2 linked regions of the Saccharomyces cerevisiae S288C genome follow. Changing the gene in region 2 together with the main gene of any one other region gives a genetic interaction. Each region holds a gene or a part of one and is shown on either strand. Other genes may lie near its edges.

Evidence for each region.
Region 1: mutations in AMS1 (region 2) and YBR298C-A together harm fitness more than expected from each alone (negative genetic interaction), as found in Saccharomyces cerevisiae (one large-scale study listed by BioGRID).

The regions. Positions count from the first base shown.
Region 1 is NC_001134.8:804,535-806,929, reverse strand, and holds YBR298C-A (uncharacterized protein), read left to right. Parts: upstream 1-1,673; coding exon 1,674-1,895; downstream 1,896-2,395. Other genes in the region: alpha-glucosidase MAL32, read right to left, coding at 1-1,579.
Region 2 is NC_001139.9:208,731-214,222, forward strand, and holds AMS1 (alpha-mannosidase), read left to right. Parts: upstream 1-1,685; coding exon 1,686-4,937; downstream 4,938-5,492. Other genes in the region: carbonyl reductase (NADPH-dependent) ARI1, read left to right, coding at 276-1,319; protein geranylgeranyltransferase type I subunit CDC43, read left to right, coding at 5,351-5,492. UniProt on the Saccharomyces cerevisiae protein: Degrades free oligosaccharides in the vacuole.

The DNA of each region.
Region 1 (2,395 bases), on a different chromosome or scaffold from region 2:
TAGTGAAGCTAAAGATCTGGTCACTGTCTAAATCAATGAATTGGAAATCGTAACCATAAATCATAAGTTCCTTATATTTCTTTCTGGCTTGCAAGGCCCTTTTCCAAAAATTGAGAACTGAGTCATCATCTCTGGATTCCTGCTCAACATTGATTCCTTGCTCAAAAGATTCATTCAAGAAAAACCAAGGTTTAACATCTGGGCCAGTAAATCCAGCATTGGGCTTATCTTTCGTCCATGGCATGGGAGTTCTCGAATGATCTCTAGAAAGTAGGGCGATTCCTTTAAAAAAATCCTTCATTTCCTTCGAGTTTTTACCAAAACTTTTTTTGATAATCTCGTAGTTGTTTTTCACATCAACGTCCTCATACTTTTCAATAGGCCATTCCTTGAAATTGATCTGGCCTATCTCCTGACCTTGATAGACATACAACGTACCTGTCAATGAACATTCTAGCAATGTTAACAGCTTACCAGATATTTTACGGTACTTTGGCGAATCGTCAGCAAATCTCGTAATTGACCGGGCTTGATCGTGATTCTCGATGTAGGTGGTAGCCCAACTATCAGTACCGTTAATGAACAAAAAGTTCGATGCAATGGCTTCTTTCCATTGTTTCAAGGTGAAGGGCACTATGTTATAACGGAAAAATGGCGAGGTACCAAGTTCAACGTGCGTGAAGGAGAAAACTTCGCTGACTTCGTATCTAGCTGCACTGGTGTATAAAGCATTATCACTTCCATGGGCAACTTCACCGACTGTCATTATTTCTCTACCATCTTTCACCCTGTTTTTCATAAATCTGTGTAGTTCTTGATGATATTCATGAATCCTAGGACCATTGTGAGACCCCCAATTTGGATGTTGTAATTTCGAGGTTTTGTCAAAAATTGGGGAATCTGGTAAACCAGGACGTTTCGAATACAAACCAGCGGTATCGATTCTAAAACCATCTACACCATGGTCCAGCCAAAATCCAACAGCACTTTCAAAGATTGCCCTTCTGCAGTCTTCATTCTCCCAATTCAAGTCAACTTGACGACTCGCAAACAAACGGAGGTAAAATTCATTTGTAGTTTCATCAAAAGTCCAAGCTGAACCACCAAAGAAAGATTTCCAATTGTTTGGAGGAATTGGCTTGCCTTCGGCGTCATAACCTTTAGGAGGTCTCCAGAAGAACCAGTCACGCTTCGGATTGGTCTTCGAGGATCTGCTCTCTTTGAACCATTCGTGTTCTGTAGAACAGTGGTTGATAACCAAATCGGTGATGAATTTCATACCCAGCTTATGAGTCTTGTCAATTAGCTCAAAACAGTCCTCGTTGGTACCGTATGTGGGCCAGACCTTTTCGTAGTTAGATATATCATACCCCATATCTTGTTGAGGAGAGTCATAAAACGGACAAACCCAAATAGCATCAACGCCAAGATCTTTAATATACTGCAACTTGGAAGTGATACCTTTTAAATCACCCCAGCCATCGTTATTGGAGTCTTTAAAACTTGCTGGGTAAATTTGATAGATTGTGGCCTCTTTCCACCACTTTGGTTCTGTTTCTGGATGATCAGAAATAGTCATTTATGTATTTTAGTTACGCTTGACTGATGTACATTTGAGATTATCAAAAAAACTGCTTAAGAGATAGATGGTTTAATTTTTTAGAGACGTATTAATGGAACTTTTTATACCTTGCCCAGAGCGCCTCAAGAAAATGATGCTGAAAGAAGAATTGAGGAAGGAACTACTCATCTTACGTTGTTTGTATCATCCCACGATCCAAATCATGTTACCTACGTTAGGTACGCTAGGAACTGAAAAAAGAAAAGAAAAGTATGCGTTATCACTCTTCGAGCCAATTCTTAATTGTGTGGGGTCCGCGAAAACTTCCGGATAAATCCTGTAAACTTAAACTTAAACCCCGTGTTTAGCGAAATTTTCAACGAAGCGCGCAATAAGGAGAAATATTATATAAAAGCGAGAGTTTAAGCGAGGTTGCAAGAATCTCTACGGTACAGATGCAACTTACTATAGCCAAGGTCTATTCGTATTGGTATCCAAGCAGTGAAGCTACTCAGGGGAAAACATATTTTCAGAGATCAAAGTTATGTCAGTCTCTTTTTCATGTGTAACTTAACGTTTGTGCAGGTATCATACCGGCCTCCACATAATTTTTGTGGGGAAGACGTTGTTGTAGCAGTCTCCTTATACTCTCCAACAGGTGTTTAAAGACTTCTTCAGGCCTCATAGTCTACATCTGGAGACAACATTAGATAGAAGTTTCCACAGAGGCAGCTTTCAATATACTTTCGGCTGTGTACATTTCATCCTGAGTGAGCGCATATTGCATAAGTACTCAGTATATAAAGAGACACAATATACTCCATACTTGTTGTG
Region 2 (5,492 bases):
ATCAATTTGTTAAGATCGGCTTCGCTCTATAAAAATGTCGGCCGAAATTAGCATAGGATTTTCCGCGGTTCCGACCCCTATCCTAGAAACACGGAAAAACTTGCGAATAATTCCGGAATTTATTCTATGCAACTTTATGAAGACAAATTACTATAAATGAACCGCTCATTCAGAAAAACTATGTCTCGAGCTCAATGGATCTTACTACATAGTTTATAAAAACAGTAATTGTGCATTGTACAACTGTGCTAAACAGACTTAAAAAAGTAATAATTATGACTACTGATACCACTGTTTTCGTTTCTGGCGCAACCGGTTTCATTGCTCTACACATTATGAACGATCTGTTGAAAGCTGGCTATACAGTCATCGGCTCAGGTAGATCTCAAGAAAAAAATGATGGCTTGCTCAAAAAATTTAATAACAATCCCAAACTATCGATGGAAATTGTGGAAGATATTGCTGCTCCAAACGCCTTTGATGAAGTTTTCAAAAAACATGGTAAGGAAATTAAGATTGTGCTACACACTGCCTCCCCATTCCATTTTGAAACTACCAATTTTGAAAAGGATTTACTAACCCCTGCAGTGAACGGTACAAAATCTATCTTGGAAGCGATTAAAAAATATGCTGCAGACACTGTTGAAAAAGTTATTGTTACTTCGTCTACTGCTGCTCTGGTGACACCTACAGACATGAACAAAGGAGATTTGGTGATCACGGAGGAGAGTTGGAATAAGGATACATGGGACAGTTGTCAAGCCAACGCCGTTGCCGCATATTGTGGCTCGAAAAAGTTTGCTGAAAAAACTGCTTGGGAATTTCTTAAAGAAAACAAGTCTAGTGTCAAATTCACACTATCCACTATCAATCCGGGATTCGTTTTTGGTCCTCAAATGTTTGCAGATTCGCTAAAACATGGCATAAATACCTCCTCAGGGATCGTATCTGAGTTAATTCATTCCAAGGTAGGTGGAGAATTTTATAATTACTGTGGCCCATTTATTGACGTGCGTGACGTTTCTAAAGCCCACCTAGTTGCAATTGAAAAACCAGAATGTACCGGCCAAAGATTAGTATTGAGTGAAGGTTTATTCTGCTGTCAAGAAATCGTTGACATCTTGAACGAGGAATTCCCTCAATTAAAGGGCAAGATAGCTACAGGTGAACCTGCGACCGGTCCAAGCTTTTTAGAAAAAAACTCTTGCAAGTTTGACAATTCTAAGACAAAAAAACTACTGGGATTCCAGTTTTACAATTTAAAGGATTGCATAGTTGACACCGCGGCGCAAATGTTAGAAGTTCAAAATGAAGCCTAAGTATCACGCTAATTGAAGTTTTTTTTGATCACTCCAATAGGCAAATCTATAGATATATAAAAAATATAGACAAGACTTTTTTTTACATTGCCAGTTTTCTTTTTTCCTTTTTAGTATCTATTCAAATGGGCGACCCTATTGTCTAATTTCATTAGCTTCATCACAAAAAGTGCCACGAATTCATATAGCGCGAGGGTAATCCCTACCCTAACTCGTTTAAGGGAGACATAGAATGAACTCCGCCATCATGTGCTCAAGACTAGACGAAGCTATATTAGAAGGACAGGAGGAGGTTTTATTTTAACCAGTTACTTCATTTCTAATATAGAGATTAAGGCTGCAAAAGAGTTTCAAAAATAATTAATTATGTCATCTGAGGATATCATTTATGATCCTCAGTTCAAACCTGTTCAGGGAATCTACGAGAATAGATTAAGACAATTTATTGATACTGGTGGGGATTACCATGACTTAAATTTACCCAAGTTTTATGATAAGAAGCGCATTTCATTAGATCATGATCACGTTAAGGTTTGGTGGTACCAGGTTTCTTTTGAACGTGGATCTTCCCCTGTTTCCCCTGATAAGAGGCCATCTTGGAAATCTATTATTGAACGTGACAAGAAGGGTGAATTGGAGTTTAGAGAAGCGAACATAAATCAGCCCTTTGGACCCAGTTGGTCTACCACTTGGTTCAAGGTGAAAATCTCTTTGCCTGAAGATTGGGTTAAATCAAACGAGCAACTACTTTTCCAATGGGATTGTTCTAACGAAGGAATTGTCATAGACCCAAAGACTCTAATCCCTGTGACTGCTTTTTCAGGTGGTGAAAGGACTGAATATGTTTTACCGAAAACATCGGATGGGAAACATTTCTTTTACATCGAAGCTGGTAATAATGGTATGTTTGGCTGCGGTGCAGGATCCACTATAAATCCACCAGATGATAATAGATTTTTTCATTTGAGAAAAGCTGATATCGTTTGGCCCGATCTAGATGCTCGTGCATTGTATATCGATTTTTGGATGCTAGGGGATGCTGCAAGAGAGCTACCTGGAGACTCCTGGCAAAAACACCAGGCAAGACAACTAGGCAATGCAGTTATGAATCTTTTTGACCCGAATGATCGTTCAAGTGTTCGTAAATGTCGTGAATTACTACAAAGGGAATACTTTGACTCCTTTTTAGAAAGCAGTAAGGTTTACGAACAAGGTGAATCTCAAGTTTTAACAAATGTTTATGGTATCGGCAACTGTCATATAGATACAGCTTGGCTATGGCCATTCGCAGAAACAAGAAGGAAAATTGTGAGATCTTGGTCTTCCCAATGTACTTTAATGGATCGCTTCCCAGAGTATAAATTTGTTGCTTCACAAGCCCAACAATTTAAATGGTTATTAGAAGATCATCCCGAATTTTTCAATAAAGTGTTAATTCCAAAAATTCAGCAATCTCAGTTTTTTGCTGTTGGTGGTACATGGGTTGAGAATGATACCAATATTCCCTCAGGGGAATCGCTGGCAAGGCAATTCTTTTTTGGTCAAAGGTTTTTCTTGAAGCATTTTGGTCTCAAGTCAAAGATATTTTGGTTACCTGACACCTTTGGTTATTCTTCGCAAATGCCACAACTTTGCCGCTTATCTGGTATTGATAAATTTTTGACTCAAAAGCTTTCCTGGAATAACATCAACAGTTTTCCGCATAGCACGTTTAACTGGGCAGGGATTGACGGTTCTCAATTATTGACTCACATGCCTCCTGGTAATACGTATACAGCAGATTCACACTTCGGTGATGTTTTGCGTACTGCCAAGCAGAATAAGACACCAGAATATTACGGCTCCGGTTTAATGTTGTACGGAAAGGGTGATGGTGGTGGAGGACCAACTGAGGAAATGCTGCAAAAAATGAGGCGTATTAGATCCATGAATAACAGAAATGGTAATGTTATTCCAAAGTTACAAGTTGGTATAACGGTTGATGAATTTTATGATGACATTTTGAAAAGGACTAACCAAGGCCATGATTTACCCACATGGAGTGGTGAATTGTATTTCGAATTTCATAGGGGGACATACACCAGTCAAGCTCAGACCAAAAAATTAATGAGGTTGTCCGAAATTAAACTACATGATTTGGAATGGATAGCTGCCAAAACATCAGTTTTATATCCCGATTCGTATAAATACCCTTCCAAACAGATTAACGAACTTTGGGAGAATGTTTTGTTATGTCAATTTCACGATGTTCTACCAGGATCATGTATTGAAATGGTATATAAGTATGAGGCTGTCCCTATGTTGCACAACGTTGTGAAAGAATGTACTTCCTTAATAGACAAAACCGTTCAATTTCTTCAGAGTCAGAGTAAGGCAGATTTGGTTGAGATGAGAACATTAACTTGGTCAAAACCAGAAAAGGTTTCTGAGGAGTGCTCGTTGAACGGTAGTTACACGTCCTCTGTAACCGGGTACGATGACTATATAGTCCTTGCCAATGGGAAGTTGAAAGTTATCATTTGCAAAAAGACTGGGGTGATCACAAGCATTACGGATGAAACTTTGGGGGTAGAATACCTGGACACGGAACATGGCAGAAACAAATTGGGCGCCAACCAGTTTGTTATTTATGATGATAAACCTTTGGGCTGGCAGGCTTGGGATACTGAACTTTATTCCGTCAACCAATACAAGTATGTAACAAAGCCGAAGAAAGTTCAAGTTTCCTGCAACACAAAAGAGAAATGTGCTGTTGAGGTCATTTTTCAAATTTCCGAAAAATGCAAAATCAAATCAGTGATATCACTCAATGCAACTGCGGTCACTGATGCTAAATTAAGTAAAGTAGACATTTCTACGACGGTAGAAAACTGGGATGCTAGAAACAAATTTTTAAAAGTTGAATTTCCCGTTAATATTCGGAACGATTTTGCTTCGTATGAAACTCAATTCGGGATTACCAAAAGACCAACACATTATAATACCTCATGGGACGTCGCTAAATTTGAGGTTTGCCATCACAAATTTGCTGATTATTCTGAATACAGCAAGGGTGTTTCAATTTTGAACGATTGCAAATATGGGTTTTCCACACACGGTAACTTGATGAGATTATCATTATTAAGGTCACCAAAGGCTCCGGATGCGCATGCTGATATGGGTACTCATGAGATAAAATATGCTATCTATCCACATAGAGGAGCACTATCAAGCGACACTGTTAAGCTCGCTCACGAATTCAATTATTGCTTCAAATACAAACTCCCCAAAGATATTGGCATGAATTTTGATGACATCATAAGCATTTCCGGAGATGAGAATGTCATTTTGTCTAACATAAAAAGAGGCGAAGATGATAGTGCTGTCAAGTCCAACTATTCATTAAATCCAAGGGATGAACAAAGTATTGTGGTAAGGGTTTACGAATCTCTTGGCGGGGAATCTTTTGCTTCACTAAATACCACACTAAATTTGAAGCGTATTGAGAAGGTCGATAACTTGGAGATGAAAGTTTATAAGAGTTTGACAGCAACGCGAGACGAATCAAATCATGCAATAAACAGAATTCCCATTAAATTGAGACCTTTTGAGATTGCCTCATTCAGGTTGTATTTCTGAGTTTGTCTCCCTCACTGTTTTTTACATTCACTCACTCCCAAACTTATGCCATTTCTATCATGATAACCAAAAATAGTCTTAACAAAATACATATAAGTAAATAATGCTAAATAAAAAAGCAAAAAAATAAAATTTATATCACACTTGTAAAACCTTTAAATGATCTTCTTTTTTACCTGTTTTATTCACTTGTTTTTTTTTTTCTGAGTTGTTGCGCCTTGGAAGAATGGAAAAGCAATAGTTTCAGTGACTATAGTATACAATCAAAACACCCGCCAGTTCAAAACTATTACTTGGTCACTAACCCCCAAGTCATCTCTAGCAATTTAAATTTCAATTTTAAGAAAACCTTTATTTATCCAACGTGAACAAGTACTTTCAAGCACTTCTGCCCACCGCTATATCGTGGAAAAATGTGTCAAGCTACCAATGGCCCGAGTAGAGTTGTGACTAAAAAGCATAGGAAATTTTTCGAAAGACATCTACAGTTGCTTCCCTCTTCACATCAGGGACATGACGTGAACAGAATGGCGATAATATTCTACTCAATCTCAG